Linked DNA regions of Saccharomyces cerevisiae S288C. Changing the gene in region 4 together with the main gene of any one other region gives a genetic interaction. Each region holds a gene or a part of one and is shown on either strand. Other genes may lie near its edges.

Region 1 (4,791 bases), on a different chromosome or scaffold from region 4:
CGGCGCTACCATACGTACAACTTTTTTTTCTTTTTTTTTTTTTTTGCCTTCTAAATTTGTAATTCGGTCACACTTTTGTCGCAGTGTTGCAAACGTCTTGAAAGAATTGTAGGTGTTGTAAACCACAACTTGCTCCCTTGAAAGCGTTGCTGATTATTTCCTTTGAACCTGTTGCATTGTTGTATTGTTGTATTGCTGCTGATGTTTTAGGCACTTAGTATTAGATATTCCTAAGCCTCCCTCACCATAAATTACCTTTATTACTTGCATGACTATTATTAGCAGAGCATGTAGTATGGGACTCAAGACCGATATGATACACACCAAAGACGTAGGCACCGGCGATTAAATCAAAGGCTCCGATAGCCGAAAAGTGAGAAGAAAAAAAAAGGAAAAAAAGGAATTGTCCTAATGAGCGGTGTGGCCGACTTGCCATAATATCAGTTAGGGCTACTATCAATGTTTTATCTACGTTGGAGTAAGATCGTTTATCACTTCCATATTTGGACCAAATGAAAAGTTCAATCGGCCAAGTATTTCATGGATGGAATGACGTTTGGTAAGGAAGTGCTTTTTCTTTTTCCACATATTTTCCCTTTCTCTCGGGGAAATTTTGTTTCTAAACATAAAAAATAAAGCAACAGCAAAAAAGAGGGTCTGTCCAGCGAATAAGAAGAAAACCTCCTTTTCGGCTTTTGAAGATAGGTTGCAGTTGTCTGCGGGCACAAAATGGGCAATTTTTTTAATACTTTTTACGTATGAGACAAGATTTTTTTCGCCAATTATATCGCATGAAGAATAACCAGAGTTTTTCTCCGAACGTTAAGGGAGTTGAAGTAAAAATAAAGAAAGGACCAAATGAGAATGGGTATGCTTGGTCTTAGTCTTCGAATCAAATTCTGCTTCCCTGTTCATGGCAACGTCACCTCAATTATTTGGAAAGGGGGGGTTTTCCGACTTTATTTGAGATGACTTGAGATGTGTGTCAATGCTAGTATTTTGGAGATTAATCTCAGTACAAAACAATATTAAAAAGAGGTGAATTATTTTTCCCCCCTTATTTTTTTTTTGTTAGAATTGATCCAAATGTAAATAAACAATCACAAGGAAAAAAAAAAAAAAAAAAAAAATAGCCGCCATGACCCCGGATCGTCGGTTGTGATACGGTCAGGGTAGCGCCCTGGTCAAACTTCAGAACTAAAAAAATAATAAGGAAGAAAAAAATAGCTAATTTTTCCGGCAGAAAGATTTTCGCTACCCGAAAGTTTTTCCGGCAAGCTAAATGGAAAAAGGAAAGATTATTGAAAGAGAAAGAAAGAAAAAAAAAAAATGTACACCCAGACATCGGGCTTCCACAATTTCGGCTCTATTGTTTTCCATCTCTCGCAACGGCGGGATTCCTCTATGGCGTGTGATGTCTGTATCTGTTACTTAATCCAGAAACTGGCACTTGACCCAACTCTGCCACGTGGGTCGTTTTGCCATCGACAGATTGGGAGATTTTCATAGTAGAATTCAGCATGATAGCTACGTAAATGTGTTCCGCACCGTCACAAAGTGTTTTCTACTGTTCTTTCTTCTTTCGTTCATTCAGTTGAGTTGAGTGAGTGCTTTGTTCAATGGATCTTAGCTAAAATGCATATTTTTTCTCTTGGTAAATGAATGCTTGTGATGTCTTCCAAGTGATTTCCTTTCCTTCCCATATGATGCTAGGTACCTTTAGTGTCTTCCTAAAAAAAAAAAAAGGCTCGCCATCAAAACGATATTCGTTGGCTTTTTTTTCTGAATTATAAATACTCTTTGGTAACTTTTCATTTCCAAGAACCTCTTTTTTCCAGTTATATCATGGTCCCCTTTCAAAGTTATTCTCTACTCTTTTTCATATTCATTCTTTTTCATCCTTTGGTTTTTTATTCTTAACTTGTTTATTATTCTCTCTTGTTTCTATTTACAAGACACCAATCAAAACAAATAAAACATCATCACAATGTCTAGATTAGAAAGATTGACCTCATTAAACGTTGTTGCTGGTTCTGACTTGAGAAGAACCTCCATCATTGGTACCATCGGTCCAAAGACCAACAACCCAGAAACCTTGGTTGCTTTGAGAAAGGCTGGTTTGAACATTGTCCGTATGAACTTCTCTCACGGTTCTTACGAATACCACAAGTCTGTCATTGACAACGCCAGAAAGTCCGAAGAATTGTACCCAGGTAGACCATTGGCCATTGCTTTGGACACCAAGGGTCCAGAAATCAGAACTGGTACCACCACCAACGATGTTGACTACCCAATCCCACCAAACCACGAAATGATCTTCACCACCGATGACAAGTACGCTAAGGCTTGTGACGACAAGATCATGTACGTTGACTACAAGAACATCACCAAGGTCATCTCCGCTGGTAGAATCATCTACGTTGATGATGGTGTTTTGTCTTTCCAAGTTTTGGAAGTCGTTGACGACAAGACTTTGAAGGTCAAGGCTTTGAACGCCGGTAAGATCTGTTCCCACAAGGGTGTCAACTTACCAGGTACCGATGTCGATTTGCCAGCTTTGTCTGAAAAGGACAAGGAAGATTTGAGATTCGGTGTCAAGAACGGTGTCCACATGGTCTTCGCTTCTTTCATCAGAACCGCCAACGATGTTTTGACCATCAGAGAAGTCTTGGGTGAACAAGGTAAGGACGTCAAGATCATTGTCAAGATTGAAAACCAACAAGGTGTTAACAACTTCGACGAAATCTTGAAGGTCACTGACGGTGTTATGGTTGCCAGAGGTGACTTGGGTATTGAAATCCCAGCCCCAGAAGTCTTGGCTGTCCAAAAGAAATTGATTGCTAAGTCTAACTTGGCTGGTAAGCCAGTTATCTGTGCTACCCAAATGTTGGAATCCATGACTTACAACCCAAGACCAACCAGAGCTGAAGTTTCCGATGTCGGTAACGCTATCTTGGATGGTGCTGACTGTGTTATGTTGTCTGGTGAAACCGCCAAGGGTAACTACCCAATCAACGCCGTTACCACTATGGCTGAAACCGCTGTCATTGCTGAACAAGCTATCGCTTACTTGCCAAACTACGATGACATGAGAAACTGTACTCCAAAGCCAACCTCCACCACCGAAACCGTCGCTGCCTCCGCTGTCGCTGCTGTTTTCGAACAAAAGGCCAAGGCTATCATTGTCTTGTCCACTTCCGGTACCACCCCAAGATTGGTTTCCAAGTACAGACCAAACTGTCCAATCATCTTGGTTACCAGATGCCCAAGAGCTGCTAGATTCTCTCACTTGTACAGAGGTGTCTTCCCATTCGTTTTCGAAAAGGAACCTGTCTCTGACTGGACTGATGATGTTGAAGCCCGTATCAACTTCGGTATTGAAAAGGCTAAGGAATTCGGTATCTTGAAGAAGGGTGACACTTACGTTTCCATCCAAGGTTTCAAGGCCGGTGCTGGTCACTCCAACACTTTGCAAGTCTCTACCGTTTAAAAAAAGAATCATGATTGAATGAAGATATTATTTTTTTGAATTATATTTTTTAAATTTTATATAAAGACATGGTTTTTCTTTTCAACTCAAATAAAGATTTATAAGTTACTTAAATAACATACATTTTATAAGGTATTCTATAAAAAGAGTATTATGTTATTGTTAACCTTTTTGTCTCCAATTGTCGTCATAACGATGAGGTGTTGCATTTTTGGAAACGAGATTGACATAGAGTCAAAATTTGCTAAATTTGATCCCTCCCATCGCAAGATAATCTTCCCTCAAGGTTATCATGATTATCAGGATGGCGAAAGGATACGCTAAAAATTCAATAAAAAATTCAATATAATTTTCGTTTCCCAAGAACTAACTTGGAAGGTTATACATGGGTACATAAATGCAGATGCCAGTGAACTATGTTCAGCTTCTGGCCTTCGTTTGGTGGTTTAATCTATTTTTTATAAAAAATGACGCGGGCAGATTCAATTAGTGTCCTAAATTTATTCGCGTTTCAAGATTTCAAAGGATTGATCCTCTTATCAGAAACGATAAGTGCTACTCCGTCCTATTCTTCTAGCCATCTAGTACGTATTCTTTTCATAACATAATCCCTTATTTACAGAATGTGTTTCGAAGAAAAATTAATTAGATGGGAAGAAAACTGAAGTGGCTTATATAATCAGTGACATAGTGCCAATAATTACGCAAAAAGCAAAGGAAATAACACTGCTATGGATATGGAAATCGAAGATTCAAGCCCCATAGATGACCTGAAGTTACAAAAACTGGATACCAATGTTTATTTTGGACCCTGTGAGATATTGACACAACCTATTCTTTTGCAATATGAAAATATTAAGTTCATCATTGGTGTCAATCTAAGTACTGAAAAGATAGCGTCGTTTTATACCCAGTATTTCAGGAACTCTAATTCGGTAGTCGTGAATCTTTGCTCACCAACTACAGCAGCAGTAGCAACAAAGAAGGCCGCAATTGATTTGTATATACGAAACAATACAATACTACTACAGAAATTCGTTGGACAGTACTTGCAGATGGGCAAAAAGATAAAAACATCTTTAACACAGGCACAAACCGATACAATCCAATCACTGCCCCAGTTTTGTAATTCGAATGTCCTCAGTGGTGAGCCCTTGGTACAGTACCAGGCATTCAACGATCTGTTGGCACTCTTTAAGTCATTTAGTCATTTTGGAAATATCTTGGTTATATCATCACATTCCTATGATTGCGCACTTCTCAAATTTCTTATTTCCAGGGTGATGACCTACTATCCACTA
Region 2 (4,226 bases), on a different chromosome or scaffold from region 4:
GTGCAAGTGCAAAAACTCATAACAGCAGCATATATTCAATGTCAAATGGGAATGTAGACCATTCCTCAAAAAAAAATTTCTTTGGAAACTCTTCTAAAAAGAGCTCTGAACGATACGAGGTATTACCTAGTGGCAAGTTAATCAAGCGACCATCCTTGAAAACACAAAGCAGTAAAGACAGTATTGGCGGCAATATAACTACTAAACTGACGAAGAAACTGAAGCTTCCATCGAGGAATGTGGAAGATGAAGATGTGAACCAGATTATTCAGGCAAGGCTAAAGGATCTGGAGTAATTCTCGTGATCTTGTTTAATTACATTATTGAGAACATTTTTATATATATACCTTTTATTGGAAATTAGTAGCGAGCTTAGAAGACTTACTTGATTTGTTGAGTCGAATATTATTTCGGCATCCACACATTAGAAAATTAACAAGATGTATTTTGAGAGAAAGCAAGGCACAACGCATGGGAAATCTTCACAAATTTTAAATACTATCTATAAACTAACTCTAATTATAAAAGTGGCTTGATTACTTTCGGTGTCAAAAGAAAAAGTAAATGTATGGCGTAAATGCTATGATTAGTTATCAGAAAATAAAGATGTTTATAAGTATTATACTGTCTGATTTAATTTCCTCGATATATTAAAATTCTAATACCATTATGTCCTTCTGGTAAACTGTGGAACAAAATAAAACATAGCCAGGAAGCCTGAAGGAATGACCTAAATGTCATCTAGTATACAAATGCGTTTTTTCAATTTTGCTTGCTCCTTGTAGTTTTATTTTATAGTACAACTTTGACTAACGTTGGAAAATAATAAAAAAATGACAGTAAAAATATTGTGTTTAACTAAACAGGTAATCTTTAATCATAGGAAGAACAATAAAGATGATGAAAAGAACGAGCATATTTTTTAATTGCGAATTCACTGCATTTTCTTCTGCTTGTTGTTGCTGCTGTCTTGAGCGGGGTTGTTGACGCATGAACGGTGAGCCACCACGATTATTAGTATAAACTCTGAAACCACCGGGGCCTCCAAATGAAAAAGTGGAAGCAGAAGGCCCAAATGGTGAAGCGCCGAATGGGCTGCCGCCTGCGTTGAACAAAAAGTCGAATATGTCCTCTGGTGGTCCAGCTCTTTGACCACCGAAACGTGAATTGAAAAACATGTCTTCAAATCCGCCACCCATTGGAGACCCACCTGCACTTCCTCGGAACCCTGAAGCAGCACCTCTGGATGGCATTTGTCTATCGTCAGGATCCCTACCTATCCTGTCATAAATACTGCGCTTTTCCTCATTGCTTAGTACTTCAAATGCCCTATTAATTACTTTGAAAGCTTCTCCCGCTTTTGGATGAGAGTTTTTATCAGGATGCAATTTGATTGCTAGTTTTCTGTATGCCTTCTTGATCTCACTATCTGTGGCTTTCCTATCTACCTTCAAAATTTCGTAAAACTCATGCTTGTCTTTTGACAGTATTTCTAGCGCGATTTTTTCTTGATCCTCAGTGAAAGACATGTTCTTCCTATTATAGACCTTCCACAAGTTATATTGCAGAAACAGCGTTGCTGCTATTATGGCTTCTGGAAGTAGAGGTGTATGAAAAGAACTTCTGCCAGCTTCCTTTATGTTCTTCACGAATACTTTCCAGCCTACTCTGCGGGTTACCCACTATACAAATACCATAATATGTTACGCGGTCCGCTATATACGAATCTACTATGTACGTCGAACATCATTAATCAAGTTTTTGGGGTTGTCATACATGGCTAAAACGCTCAGGATATCACGTAGGTGTTTCAAACCCCTTGTTGGTGGAGACCAATCCTGGTAAGTTCGCCAAATCTCTGTTAATCTTCTCAAAGCTTCCACGGTGTCCCTCTGAAAAACAGGGCCAGAAGTACTCGTGGTACTATCCAAGAAGCAGTTTAATGAGATGGAGAGCCTCAACGCATGTGGTATCTCTCGCTGCGGTAAATTTTTCAATTGAATCAATTTGGAGAAGGAATCATGAATTTTCCATACCAAATCATATTGATTGACAGTATTCAATATGCTTGTAGGAGTGTCGAGGTCGATGTTTAAACGTAAATGCTTACGACTTAATGGGTTTTTCGTGAATATTGTATTGTACAGAAAGCATTTATAGACTTTATCGTCATCATAAATGTCTGAATATATCCTTACGAAATCCGAAGATTTTTCGTTTTGATACTGCACAAACTGCAAAAAATCCTTTACCGTAGAAATATTCTCTGGCAATAATGATTCCGATGATGAACCGAGACTTTCACCCTCCCTTTGGTCGTAATTGAGTTGATGACCATTCATTTTCCACTTACTGTCCATTTCTTGAAGCCAGATTTTGTTGCTGTTCTGGTACTGTTTCCTAATATTTGGAGGCAATGTGTAATCATTAAATGACCTTGAAATAAAAAAAGGACTTAGTAAATTAATTATGGGAATAAATTGTTTATATCCTAAATTCTCCGTTATCATCAAAATATCCCATAAGGTTATTTCGAAAAGTCTGTTGGTGGGAATCTTCAATCTCGATTCAAAATTAGGGGTCCTTACATGGACGTCATTAATGTTACTAGTTGCTTCATCATCGGTATCAAGGTTTAAATTATTAGCATTCTTTAAATCAATGCCCATGTACTTCCCATTGCACCATAAATTTCTCAAGATTTTAGGGTGATTATAATCTATAGCAAGTTTTTCTGAAATTGTCATAAAATTATCATAAAGCTTACCAAAAAATGTCAGTCGAAACGTATCCCAATTGAACAAGAGCCAATCCAATGCATCCTGAACTAGTTTAGATTCACTAGAATCTATCCGCCTATAATTTTTGATTTTAGATAATGTGTCTTGTTGCTTTTTGTCAATGCCCTGAAATAACTGTTTTTCTTTGATTTGTTGGCTCTTCGTTGTGAAATCATTATTTGAATCATGATCATTACTATCATTTTCGTTAGTACTGGAATTGGAACCCAAGTTATTATAACTATTGCTAGTAAAGTCAGTGCTGTGGTCCCAAAATCGATAGCCTTGTAAACATGACTGGAAACTCAATACACTCACTGTAGTGTTTTCATCAAACTCTAGAACTTCATTATTTTGCACGATATATTTCGCTAATAGCAAAGTTAAGGGAACGCTGTGATAAACGCCCACAAAAAAAATTGAATCTACCTCTTTGAAAAGATGAGCCCAGTGGTTCAGTAACTCTACACATTCTTTATATGTAGGTATTAAATCTTGATTATGCAGTGGGCACTGGAACGATAGGGTCAAGACTCTTTGAGGTTGTTCTTGCGCTAGATTTTGTGACAATTTTCTAGAAAGATAATAAGCCGATCTTTGTGATTCTAATGAGCGCTGCTCATACTTTTCTGGTAAATCCCCCACGACGGATATTATAATAATTCTCTTATCCTTCAGTAATGCGGTTTTTTTTTGTCTTAAATAGAGATGTTGCTCATTAGGGAAGTTATAGTAATTTTTGATAGTATTCAATACCTTAGTTCTTAGTGGTTGGACGTGCAGAAAATTCAAAGGGTTATCTGATGGTAGGATTAAAGAATCATTAATAAATACATTATACCCAGGGTTACCTCCCTCCCCAGGATATTTGTTTAATGGCAATGGGCATTTGGCTGATCCTGTACCAGAGACACTGATTATTCCTGGGGTATCTATGGAATCAATTATGTTTGATGAATTTGATATATGTGGAATTGCTTCGTACCAACACCATGATTTCGACTTTTTTGAAATTATATCCTTAGCCTCATTTTCCAAGAAGTTGATTTGTTCAGTGTTTAGTTGAGAGTAGCGGGTATTATCATCAACAACAATTGGGGCACTTCTATATCTGGATGTTGCAAAAGAAGCGATTTTAGACCATATCCCTTTATTGTCATTATTCGAGTTCACGCTATCTTGAAAATCCGTTGTCGGACTACTCCTTCCTTGTCCATTAGGATATTCTGCAATTCTTCCCGTGTTTGGCTCATCGTCGGCAGTGGAATTCCACCAGGGTTTCCATCTGTTTTGTTGTCGTGGACGTTGGGGTGGGACTTCCTGCTGGTCCTCTCGTATCTGCTGCTGCTCTTGTGTTTGATGCTGCAACTGTTTATCCTGTTTCTGCTGCACAACATCCATTATAATAGCGTTTTATATGTTGTGCTAAATTGCTACTACACTTGC
Region 3 (4,358 bases), on a different chromosome or scaffold from region 4:
AAAAGCCAGTCATCTTTACTGAACAGCAAGCAAAGATCACGTGCTAAATCGCAAACATGCTCGTCTACGGGTTATAACAACAGCAGCATTCTGAAAACGTTTGGCATAAGCTCCAAAATTTCTAATTCAAGTGATCGGATAGAGGCTTCGTCATTAGAATTTAACGTTCCATCTCAGAAACCTTTGAATTGCAAGCCATTAACTCCGTCTCAGAAATACAGACTTCGTAAAGAGCAATCGGAGATGAATTTAAGAAATACAATCAAAAGAAAAGAGAAATTTTATGATAGTCAAGAACAAATTCTTGAGTTACAAGAGGGAGACGTTGATGATTCGTTGATTTGGAACGTTCCTATGGCATCATTATCTACTAATTCATTTCTAGCGTCTGCTAAGCCCGATGATATGAATAACTTGGCTGGCAAGAATGACTTATCAGAATATACCGGAGGTTTGGTAAATGATAACTCTGAAATTTCTTATACAAAACAAAATCATAGGTACTCGAACATCTCTTTTGCGAGTACAACATCAAACGCCTCATTATTGGACTTTAATGAGATGCCTACGTCTCCGATTCCAGGTTTGAACAAAGTAACTGATTTTCAGTTCATTCAAGACACAACCAAGAGTCTAGCCTCTGTTTATTTGCATTCTTCCAATAGGCTTTCAAGATCTAAGCTGTCCGAAAGAACAAAGTCTTCCGATTTCTTGCCAATTGAACTAAAAGAAGCTCAAAATCAAGGCATGGAAGATTTGATACTTGTCTCGGAGAACAAACTAGATGTGGTCAGCCATTCAAGACCGAGTTGGTTACCACCCAAGGATCGCCAGGAAAAAAAGCTTCATGAAAGGCAAATTAACAAAAGCATGAGTGTTGCTTCCCTTGACCAACTAGGAAAAAATAAAGACAGAGAAGAAAAGTTGATTAGAGATGAAACAAATAGGCAAAAATATGTGTTATTATTGGACAGAGATATAACTAGAAACTCCTCCTTACAAAGCCTAAGTAAAATGGTTTGGGACACTCCATTTAGTGACGAAACTAGGTCAACAATTTACAGCGAAATTTTACAGAGCAAGACTAGGTTTATTACCAAAAACTATATTCAACCATTTCATGAGCTACAGGAGCTTTTAACAAAAATGGGAGACTTTCCTAAAAACAAGGAAATTGAAATATCGCAGCTAATCGAAACAAGTTTGAGGCGAAAAGTGAGCGGTTTACATGATATATGTCCTGATTTGATGCTTTTATTGAAGATAAAATCTATCTCATCACAGGGTATAGTCACCGGTGATGAACTCCTTTTCCATCATTTCTTGGTGAGTGAATCATTTCAGAACCTGGGGCTAAACGAGATTTGGAATATTGTTAATTTAGTACAAATGACGTGTTTTAATGATCTTTGTAAAGAAAAGTTCGATGCAAAGGTTTTAGAACGTAAGGGTGTCGTAGCCGGTTATTTATCGCAAAACGAGGAGTTCAAGGATGAATTTAATACGGAGTGTATAAACTCTACCACCTGGTGGAACATCCTAGAACGTATTGATCATAAGCTTTTTATGTGGATCATGGATATTATAGTAGTCAACAATTCCCAGAGCTACAAAAATAGCCCAATCAACGAAGATGAGTTTGTTAACAAGGATTGGGAATATTACCGCTCGAAGAAAGTGGTAATAAACTACAAGATCTTGATTTCATTTGCATTAAATGTATTGTTAAATTACCACTTTGGATTCACTGATTTAAGAAGTCTTTGTAACGTGAATGACCAGAGATTTTGCATTCCAGTATTCATCAATGATGAATTCGTAGACGCAGATACTGTAAATGCCGTGTTCATCAAGAAATGGGCGCATTACTACAAGAAGTTTTGATATTTTTTGTAACTGTAATTTCACTCATGCACAAGAAAAAAAAAACTGGATTAAAAGGGAGCCCAAGGAAAACTCCTCAGCATATATTTAGAAGTCTCCTCAGCATATAGTTGTTTGTTTTCTTTACACATTCACTGTTTAATAAAACTTTTATAATATTTCATTATCGGAACTCTAGATTCTATACTTGTTTCCCAATTGTTGCTGGTAGTAAACGTATACGTCATAAAAGGGAAAAGCCACATGCGGAAGAATTTTATGGAAAAAAAAAAAACCTCGAAGTTACTACTTCTAGGGGGCCTATCAAGTAAATTACTCCTGGTACACTGAAGTATATAAGGGATATAGAAGCAAATAGTTGTCAGTGCAATCCTTCAAGACGATTGGGAAAATACTGTAATATAAATCGTAAAGGAAAATTGGAAATTTTTTAAAGATGTCTTCACTGGTTACTCTTAATAACGGTCTGAAAATGCCCCTAGTCGGCTTAGGGTGCTGGAAAATTGACAAAAAAGTCTGTGCGAATCAAATTTATGAAGCTATCAAATTAGGCTACCGTTTATTCGATGGTGCTTGCGACTACGGCAACGAAAAGGAAGTTGGTGAAGGTATCAGGAAAGCCATCTCCGAAGGTCTTGTTTCTAGAAAGGATATATTTGTTGTTTCAAAGTTATGGAACAATTTTCACCATCCTGATCATGTAAAATTAGCTTTAAAGAAGACCTTAAGCGATATGGGACTTGATTATTTAGACCTGTATTATATTCACTTCCCAATCGCCTTCAAATATGTTCCATTTGAAGAGAAATACCCTCCAGGATTCTATACGGGCGCAGATGACGAGAAGAAAGGTCACATCACCGAAGCACATGTACCAATCATAGATACGTACCGGGCTCTGGAAGAATGTGTTGATGAAGGCTTGATTAAGTCTATTGGTGTTTCCAACTTTCAGGGAAGCTTGATTCAAGATTTATTACGTGGTTGTAGAATCAAGCCCGTGGCTTTGCAAATTGAACACCATCCTTATTTGACTCAAGAACACCTAGTTGAGTTTTGTAAATTACACGATATCCAAGTAGTTGCTTACTCCTCCTTCGGTCCTCAATCATTCATTGAGATGGACTTACAGTTGGCAAAAACCACGCCAACTCTGTTCGAGAATGATGTAATCAAGAAGGTCTCACAAAACCATCCAGGCAGTACCACTTCCCAAGTATTGCTTAGATGGGCAACTCAGAGAGGCATTGCCGTCATTCCAAAATCTTCCAAGAAGGAAAGGTTACTTGGCAACCTAGAAATCGAAAAAAAGTTCACTTTAACGGAGCAAGAATTGAAGGATATTTCTGCACTAAATGCCAACATCAGATTTAATGATCCATGGACCTGGTTGGATGGTAAATTCCCCACTTTTGCCTGATCCAGCCAGTAAAATCCATACTCAACGACGATATGAACAAATTTCCCTCATTCCGATGCTGTATATGTGTATAAATTTTTACATGCTCTTCTGTTTAGACACAGAACAGCTTTAAATAAAATGTTGGATATACTTTTTCTGCCTGTGGTGTCATCCACGCTTTTAATTCATCTCTTGTATGGTTGACAATTTGGCTATTTTTTAACAGAACCCAACGGTAATTGAAATTAAAAGGGAAACGAGTGGGGGCGATGAGTGAGTGATACTAAAATAGACACCAAGAGAGCAAAGCGGTCCCAAAATCATTTGAGTAACCGGATATCTATCGGGATATTAATAGCAGCTTCCATTTCAACTAAAACAACAGCAAGATATGAGCGACAAGATATCCTTTCTACCTCCCGAACCCATCCAACTACTTGACGAAGACTCCACGGAGCCTGAACTCGACATTGACTCACAACAAGAAAATGAGGGACCCATCAGTGCGTCAAACAGCAATGATAGCACTAGCCATAGTAATGATTGCGGTGCCACAATTACCAGAACAAGACCTAGACGAAGCAGTTCTATCAATGCAAACTTTAGTTTTCAAAAGGCTCATGTCAGCGATTGCACCATAGTCAATGGCGACCATGGAACAAAGTTTGCTGTCTGGAGAATTACCGTATTTCTTGAACCCAACTTGAAGGCTTTTGCGGCCAAGAGGGAAAGCTATAAAATCCAAACCTATAAACGATACTCCGATTTCGTCAGATTACGAGAGAATTTGCTCACAAGAATCAAGACAGCGAAACCTGAGAAACTTAACTGTTTGCAGATTCCACACCTTCCCCCTTCAGTGCAGTGGTACAGTTCTTGGAAATATCAAGAAGTGAATCTGAACAAGGACTGGCTGGCAAAAAGACAGAGAGGGCTCGAGTACTTCCTCAATCACATCATCCTTAACAGCAGCCTCGTAGAAATGACCAAAGATATACTCATACAGTTTCTAGAGCCTTCAAAACGAGTTGCATAGCTCACCATCCCTATCCAACCGACTATTCTTCTCATC
Region 4 (6,735 bases):
ATGTCACAGTCTTTTGCAATGGTTATTTTATTTCTTAAGAGACGGCTGAAAATGGACCATGTTTATTGTTATATAAATAATTCGTTTGCGCCAAGTCCGCAGCAAAATATTGGTGAACTTTGGATGCAATTCAAGACTAATGATGAGCTTATTGTAAGTTATTGTGCATCCGTAGCGTTTGGTTAAATACCCGGGCGCTGGAATGGTCTAAGAAGAAAACCTACAGTCGATCAAAAATCCCGTACGATATTAAATAGAGTAGTTAACGTACTTGAGCGTTATAAACTCACATTTTCACTCAAGAAGAAAATGGAGAATGGAGACATGGTAAGTGAAAGCATTAAGGAAGAAACACAGTTAGCACGTATTTCATCGAAAGTGTTTGATTACTTTCTATTTGGCATTTAAATATACATGGGAACATAACTAGATAAAATATACGCCATATATAGTACAGCTAGTATTTTCAGATGTCATAAAATATAATTAACGAGTAAAAATTACTTTTTTTGGGATGGGGGTAGGGTTTCTTCTTCTAGGACAACCAACAAATCTGATGCGTCAACACTTTCACCATCCTTAATGAAAACGTCTTTAACTTGACCATCTGCTGGTGAAGAGACAACCATTTCCATTTTCATGGCACTCAAAACAGCAATCGATTCGCCCTTTTTCACCAAAGACCCTTTATGTACTTTAACTTCTATGATAACACCAGCCATTGGTGCACCGATTTGGTGAGTATCGTGGACATCAGCCTTTGGTTTAGCAACAGATTGTATGTTTTGTGACTTGTCTGCAACTCTGATCTTTCTTAATTCACCGTTCAATTCAAAATACACTTCTCTTTGCCCAGTTTTCTTATTTAAGTCACCAACAGCTTGCAATTTGATAATCAAAGTCTTACCTTGTTCGATGGTGACTTCGATTTCTTCATCAGGTTCTGCTGGTGCTAGGAAATTTTTGGTTGGTAGAACTGATAAATCACCGTATGTTTCTCTGATCTTTTGGAAATCTTCATAGACCCTTGGATACATATTGTAAGAAGCAACATCGCATTCATCAATATCACCGAATCTGTTCTGCAAGTCTTCTCTAATTTTTTCGAGATCAAATGGTTCTAATTCTAAACCTGGACGGCACGTCAACTTTCTTCTCTTGTTTCTCAATACATCAGATCTTAATGGTTCTGGGAACCCACCGTATGGTTGACCAATTAAACCTTCAAAAAAGTCCATAACAGAGTCAGGAAAGTCCAAAGAATTAGCTAAACGTCTAATATCGTCGGAAGTCAGTTTGTTAGAAACCATGAATTGAGCTAAATCACCGACAACCTTAGAAGTTGGGGTAACTTTAACAATATCTCCCAGTAGGTAATTGGCTTCTCTGTAAGCTCTTTTAGTTTCAGCCCATTGTTCACCAAGACCCAGTTGTTGAGCTTGGAATAACAAGTTAGTCAATTGACCACCTGGGATTTCATGTTGGTAAACTTCTGGATCTGGTCCCTTCAAGTCGGCCTCGAAACAAGAATACAACAGTCTCATTTCGGCCCAGTATGCATCTAATTCACGAACATGCTCAACGTTAATCCCAGTATCAATGTTACCTTCTAATGAAGCCAACAGTGCATTAATTGATGGTTGGGAAGTTAAGCCCGACATTGAATTGATAGCTACATCGACAACATCAGCACCTGCTAGGGCACATGCAGTCATAGACGCAACAGCAGTACCTGCGGAGTCATGACTGTGAACATGAATTGGTAAATCCGGATATCTGGTTCTTAGGGAGCCAATTAATAATTTGGCAGCGGCCGGTTTCATAGTACCTGCCATATCCTTAATACCCAAGATATGTGTACCCATTTGAACTATTTTTTCAACAACTTCTAGGTAGTAGTCTAAGTTGTATTTCTTACCTGGCTGAAGCATGTCACCAGAGTAACAAACAGTAGCTTCGACAACACCACCGGCCTTCTTGACAGCATTCACACCAACTTTTAATTGTTCTAAATCATTCAAGGCATCAAAAACTCTAAATATATCAACACCATTATCCTTGGCTTGCTTGACAAAATGGTCAATAGCATTGTCAGGTAATGAAGAGTAAGCCACACCGTTGGCACCACGTAATAACATTTGGAATGGAATATTAGGCACCAGAGATCTTAATTTTCTCAGACGTTCCCATGGATCCTCATGCAAGAATCTCATTGCAACGTCGAATGTAGCACCACCCCAACATTCTAAAGCGAAAGCACCTGCAAGGGCATGTGCGGTTGTTGGAGCGATTGTAGCCAAATCGTGGGTTCTGACTCTTGTTGCAAGTAGAGATTGATGAGCGTCTCTCCAGGTGGTGTCCATCAGTAGAGTACCATTGAACTGTCTGACTTGCTTGGCAAATTCAGATGGTCCCTTTTCCAGTAGCACTTGTCTCCATCCGGATGGTGGTGCAGACTTTGTAACGTTGATGACATTGCCCTGAGCATCGTGCAAATGGGGGACACTTGGATTTGATTTTAGTTTTGGCAAGCCAATTTGACCCTTAATAGAAGAACCGTTAACTGCCAAGTCTGCCAAATAGTGTAACAGTTTTTGCGCTCTGTTTTGTGACGATACCATTTGGAACAGTTGTGGGGTGTCGTCAATAAAAGTCGTCCAGTATGTACCCTCAATAAAAACTGGATTGGTCAAAAGAGTCAATAGGAAGGGAATGTTGGTCTTAACACCTCTGATTCTGAATTCGATCAGGGCACGAATCATCTTCCTACGGACGATTTCATAAGTAGAACCAGAGCATGAACATTTGACCAGCATTGAGTCGTAGTGAGGCGAGATAGTAGCACCTGCATAAGCGTTACCACCGTCCAATCTCACACCATTACCACCGGCAGAACGATAGACCTCCAGGCGACCGGTATCCGGTTGGAAATTCTTAGAGGGATCTTCAGTGGTAATACGACATTGGATGGAAAACCCACGGGTGGTGATTTTATCCTGTAATAGACCTAGTTGAGTCAAAGTGGCACCTGCGGCAATCTGGATTTGGGCAGAAACAATGTCAATACCGGTGATTTCTTCAGTGATGGTATGCTCCACTTGAATTCTTGGATTAATTTCAATGAAATAGTGTCTGTTTTGGTTGTCAACCAAGAATTCGGCGGTACCTGCGTTTCTGTAACCACATACCTTAGCTAATTTAACAGCATCTGTCAAAATAGCGTCACGAACTTCACGGGGCAAAGTCTTTGCTGGAGCGACTTCGACAACTTTTTGGTGTCTTCTTTGCACAGAACAGTCTCTTTCGAAAAGATGAACCACGTTTCCGTGGTTATCAGCCAACAATTGAACTTCAATATGCTTTGGCTTGTCCAAGAATCTTTCCACAAAGCAGGTACCATTACCGAAGGCAGTACGGGCTTCGGAGGTAGCACGTTGAAAGGCATCTGCCACGTCGTCACCTTCTCTAACGACTCTCATACCTCTACCACCACCACCAAAGGCGGCCTTAATGATCACCGGGTAGCCGTATTCATTAACGAAGTCAAGTGCCTCTTGCACAGTTTCGATAGGTCCTGGAGTACCGGGAACGGTAGGAACGTTAGCTCTTGCTGCCAAGTGTCTGGCAGAGACTTTGTCACCCACAGAGTCAATAACTTCAGCTGGAGGGCCGATCCAAGTGATACCGGCCTTCACTACTTTGTCGGCAAATTCCGAATTTTCAGACAAGAACCCATAACCTGGATGGATGAAATCCACCTTATGCTTCTTTGCAATTTCGATGATCTCGTCCATTGCCAAGTAAGCACCCACAGGTGTATACTGGCCCTCCTCCCCGATAACATACGCTTCGTCCGCCTTCAACCTGTGCATTGAAAGACGGTCCTCATGGGAGTATATGGCGATGGTTCTCATAGACAGCTCATGAGCAGATCTAAAAATTCTAATCGGAATTTCACCTCTATTGGCGACCAAGATCTTATTCTTTTCGCCGAGCAAACTGAAATTGTCCCTAAGACCGGCCAATTTCTTGCTACTGCTCATATTTTATTTTGTTCTCTATGTCCCTTATTTTCTCTCCTAGTAACTGTCCTTTATTTTGCAATATAGTAATTGGCAAAAAAATCAAACTCAAATGACGGGCCACAGATAGTAAGCTACAAGAGTTTGGAAGAAAAGAGGGGCTTGTTTATGTATGTAATCAAGTAAGGATACCGAAAGTAAGAGAAAAGAAAAAAGGACTAAAAATCACAGAAACACAATAGGAAATATCCGATGGGGAGTACTTCTTACTTAACACTCCCTGCGCCAATTCTGACTCTTATAATAAATAGCTCGAGACGTAACTGCCAAAATTGTAAAAAAAAAATGAAAAACTATTAGAAAATTAATTGCGAAAAAAAAAAGGTTAGTCATATGTGCCTTTGCGGCGTCTTCCGCAGGAAGGACCCCTCTCTGCCAATCACAGAAGAGCTGGCTGTGCCTGTGCGGTACGCTATCAGCAGCTGCGTCGGGTAAGGGACACGTCGTTAGTGACAATCGTGGTTAGTTTTCGTACAGAAAGATGACCTTAATTGATAATTAAAGTATAGAAATGTCGTATAGTATATTTTTCCCTTGCATGGAAAAAACTGGGATAATGTGATGATTCTCATTAACAGATTTACACTGGTATTGATACTCATTTTGTTTCTGCTTCCTGTAGTACATAAAAAGATCTTGTAAATATTACGATACTCGTTAAAATTTTCTTGAACGTAATGTCGTACAATTCTTGTTTGAGGGGTCGTTACGTACATCTCCAGGAACTGATTGGCAGACTTTGTAAATGGAGGATTTTCCTTTTCAAATATCCAAAATATAGGAAAAGTCCGACTACAATACATATGAGATTGGTGATGTAATAGCCGTCACGCAGGATGGTCACGGTGCCATTCAAAAGCTCGGTGCACGCTTGCATGCTGCCGCCGTGAGTTACGTATACTTTATTTGTGCCAGGAATAGTGCACTGATACACGGTGAAGTAGTTGATCATGGACATAATGATTAACCGCGGCCATGTCCCACCGAAGTTGCTGAGGGTATTTAACAATGTCATATATGTGCCACCCAGCACGGGGTCTGCAACTCTTGTATGGAAGGCCGATATTCCAATGAACTGGACAGTATTCATGAAGGAACCTAAGAGGTGCTGGAATATCACGAGACAAAAATAACCCGTGGATATTTCACCATCCTTGGGGAATTGCTTCACCACGTAACTTCCCAAGACCGCGGCTGCCAGACGGCCCAAAAAGCCCCACAACCATGGTGTTAAAACGCCGGCATCCCCAACTAAGAACTTGATGACCTTGTTGGTGCCCGTGCTGTTTCTTAATCTTCTATTGTCACGAATCATGGGGTCCTTGTCGGAGCTCCATTTAACAACATAGTACCCAAATATGATTTCGAACGGCAGGTCTATGAGTACTGTCACAGCCAAGTCTTCTCTTTTGAAGCCTTGCTCTAGTAGTTTCAGGTTTGTGGCGGCTTCGTTGCATTGAAAGGCAAATTTCGAAATCATGTGAATGAAGGCTAGGCTTCTTACGGACTTCAATTTCAACACTTTTATAAAGCAGCGGTAAATGTACTTTATACTGCTTGTATTCTGAGTTGACACCACATCACCGTCGTCATACTCAATACTTATCGGCTTTGACCCTCCGTCACTTGTATTTATGGGCTCCACTTTGGGCAAATACTCTACGTAGGGTTTTTCCTTGGTGCAAAAGATGATATATATGGTTATTACAATGTAAAGCATGCCCGAGAATTTCATGTACCCACCAAGACTAATGAACCCGTGATCCAGTGGGATGTTTCTGAAATACTTATTGGCGAAATCAGAGGAATTCAACGACAGGAAAATGGTAAATGACATAAAATAACCAATATTCAAACCTATTGTTTGCGCGGTAGATGCATATGATAGGGATTCTTTGGACAAAATCGTCAACGCCCAACCATCAACTGCGATGTCTTGAGTGGCACACAGAAAAACTAACAGGCCAAACCACCACGTCAAATTTTTTATACTGACACTGTGTAAAGTGCCATTACCGCGATTATGGAACGCATCGTCGACACCATCGAAGATTATGCCTTGTGATATGCACCACCCTAATGCCCATAGCACAAATCCACTAACAAATTGTACTGGAATGATCCATGATCTTCTTCTACCGATGCGCTTGTTGTACAGTGAGTCTACTATTGGTGACCATATGATCTTTAAAGAATATGGATATGTAGCCATAGAGAAAATTCCCAGTGATGTAAACGAGGTCTCCTTTGCTAAAGATTTCAGTAGAAACGGTACGGTACCGAAGGCCAATCCTACAGGTATGCCTTGAGCCAAATATAACATAATTAAAAGATAAAATTGCGGCAAATCATGCTTGGCTAGTGACCCGCTCTTTCGCTTAGGTTCCATGCCTACTTTTGTTTTATCCCCCTATAACTATGGTATATTATACTGCCTCACCAAACGTTTAGGTCTTGCTTCTGCTTCCCACAGTAGCTTACGCATTATAGCCGATTTATTTTTCACTTATTTTCGCATGCCAGAGTATCTTTATTTTCTTTCTTTCATTCAGCCTGTCGTCGAAAAGAAAAAAAAGAAAATAAATATGTGCGTATTCTAACCATGAAACAGGAACTCATTCAATGTGCACAGTACTTATCTCATTCAATTTTG

What was found.
Region 1: mutations in PYC2 (region 4) and CDC19 are lethal when combined (synthetic lethality), as found in Saccharomyces cerevisiae (2 studies listed by BioGRID, with this or other methods).
Region 2: mutations in PYC2 (region 4) and HLJ1 together harm fitness more than expected from each alone (negative genetic interaction), as found in Saccharomyces cerevisiae (2 studies listed by BioGRID).
Region 3: mutations in PYC2 (region 4) and GRE3 together harm fitness more than expected from each alone (negative genetic interaction), as found in Saccharomyces cerevisiae (2 studies listed by BioGRID).

Annotation. Positions count from the first base shown.
Region 1 is NC_001133.9:69,799-74,589, forward strand, and holds CDC19 (pyruvate kinase CDC19), read left to right. Parts: upstream 1-1,987; coding exon 1,988-3,490; downstream 3,491-4,791. Other genes in the region: YAL037C-A (uncharacterized protein), read right to left, coding at 3,628-3,720; YAL037W (uncharacterized protein), read left to right, coding at 4,222-4,791.
Region 2 is NC_001145.3:575,021-579,246, reverse strand, and holds HLJ1 (type I HSP40 co-chaperone HLJ1), read right to left. Parts: upstream 1,530-4,226; coding exon 855-1,529; downstream 1-854. Other genes in the region: aminophospholipid-translocating P4-type ATPase DNF3, read left to right, coding at 1-296; CVM1 (Cvm1p), read right to left, coding at 1,731-4,181.
Region 3 is NC_001140.6:321,089-325,446, forward strand, and holds GRE3 (trifunctional aldehyde reductase/xylose reductase/glucose 1-dehydrogenase (NADP(+))), read left to right. Parts: upstream 1-2,320; coding exon 2,321-3,304; downstream 3,305-4,358. Other genes in the region: SBE22 (Sbe22p), read left to right, coding at 1-1,884; YPT35 (Ypt35p), read left to right, coding at 3,678-4,322. UniProt on the Saccharomyces cerevisiae protein: Aldose reductase with a broad substrate specificity. Reduces the cytotoxic compound methylglyoxal (MG) to acetol and (R)-lactaldehyde under stress conditions.
Region 4 is NC_001134.8:658,207-664,941, forward strand, and holds PYC2 (pyruvate carboxylase 2), read right to left. Parts: upstream 4,044-6,735; coding exon 501-4,043; downstream 1-500. Other genes in the region: ATG12 (Atg12p), read left to right, coding at 1-186; YBR219C (uncharacterized protein), read right to left, coding at 4,293-4,375, 4,797-5,097; YBR220C (uncharacterized protein), read right to left, coding at 4,789-6,471. UniProt on the Saccharomyces cerevisiae protein: Pyruvate carboxylase catalyzes a 2-step reaction, involving the ATP-dependent carboxylation of the covalently attached biotin in the first step and the transfer of the carboxyl group to pyruvate in the second.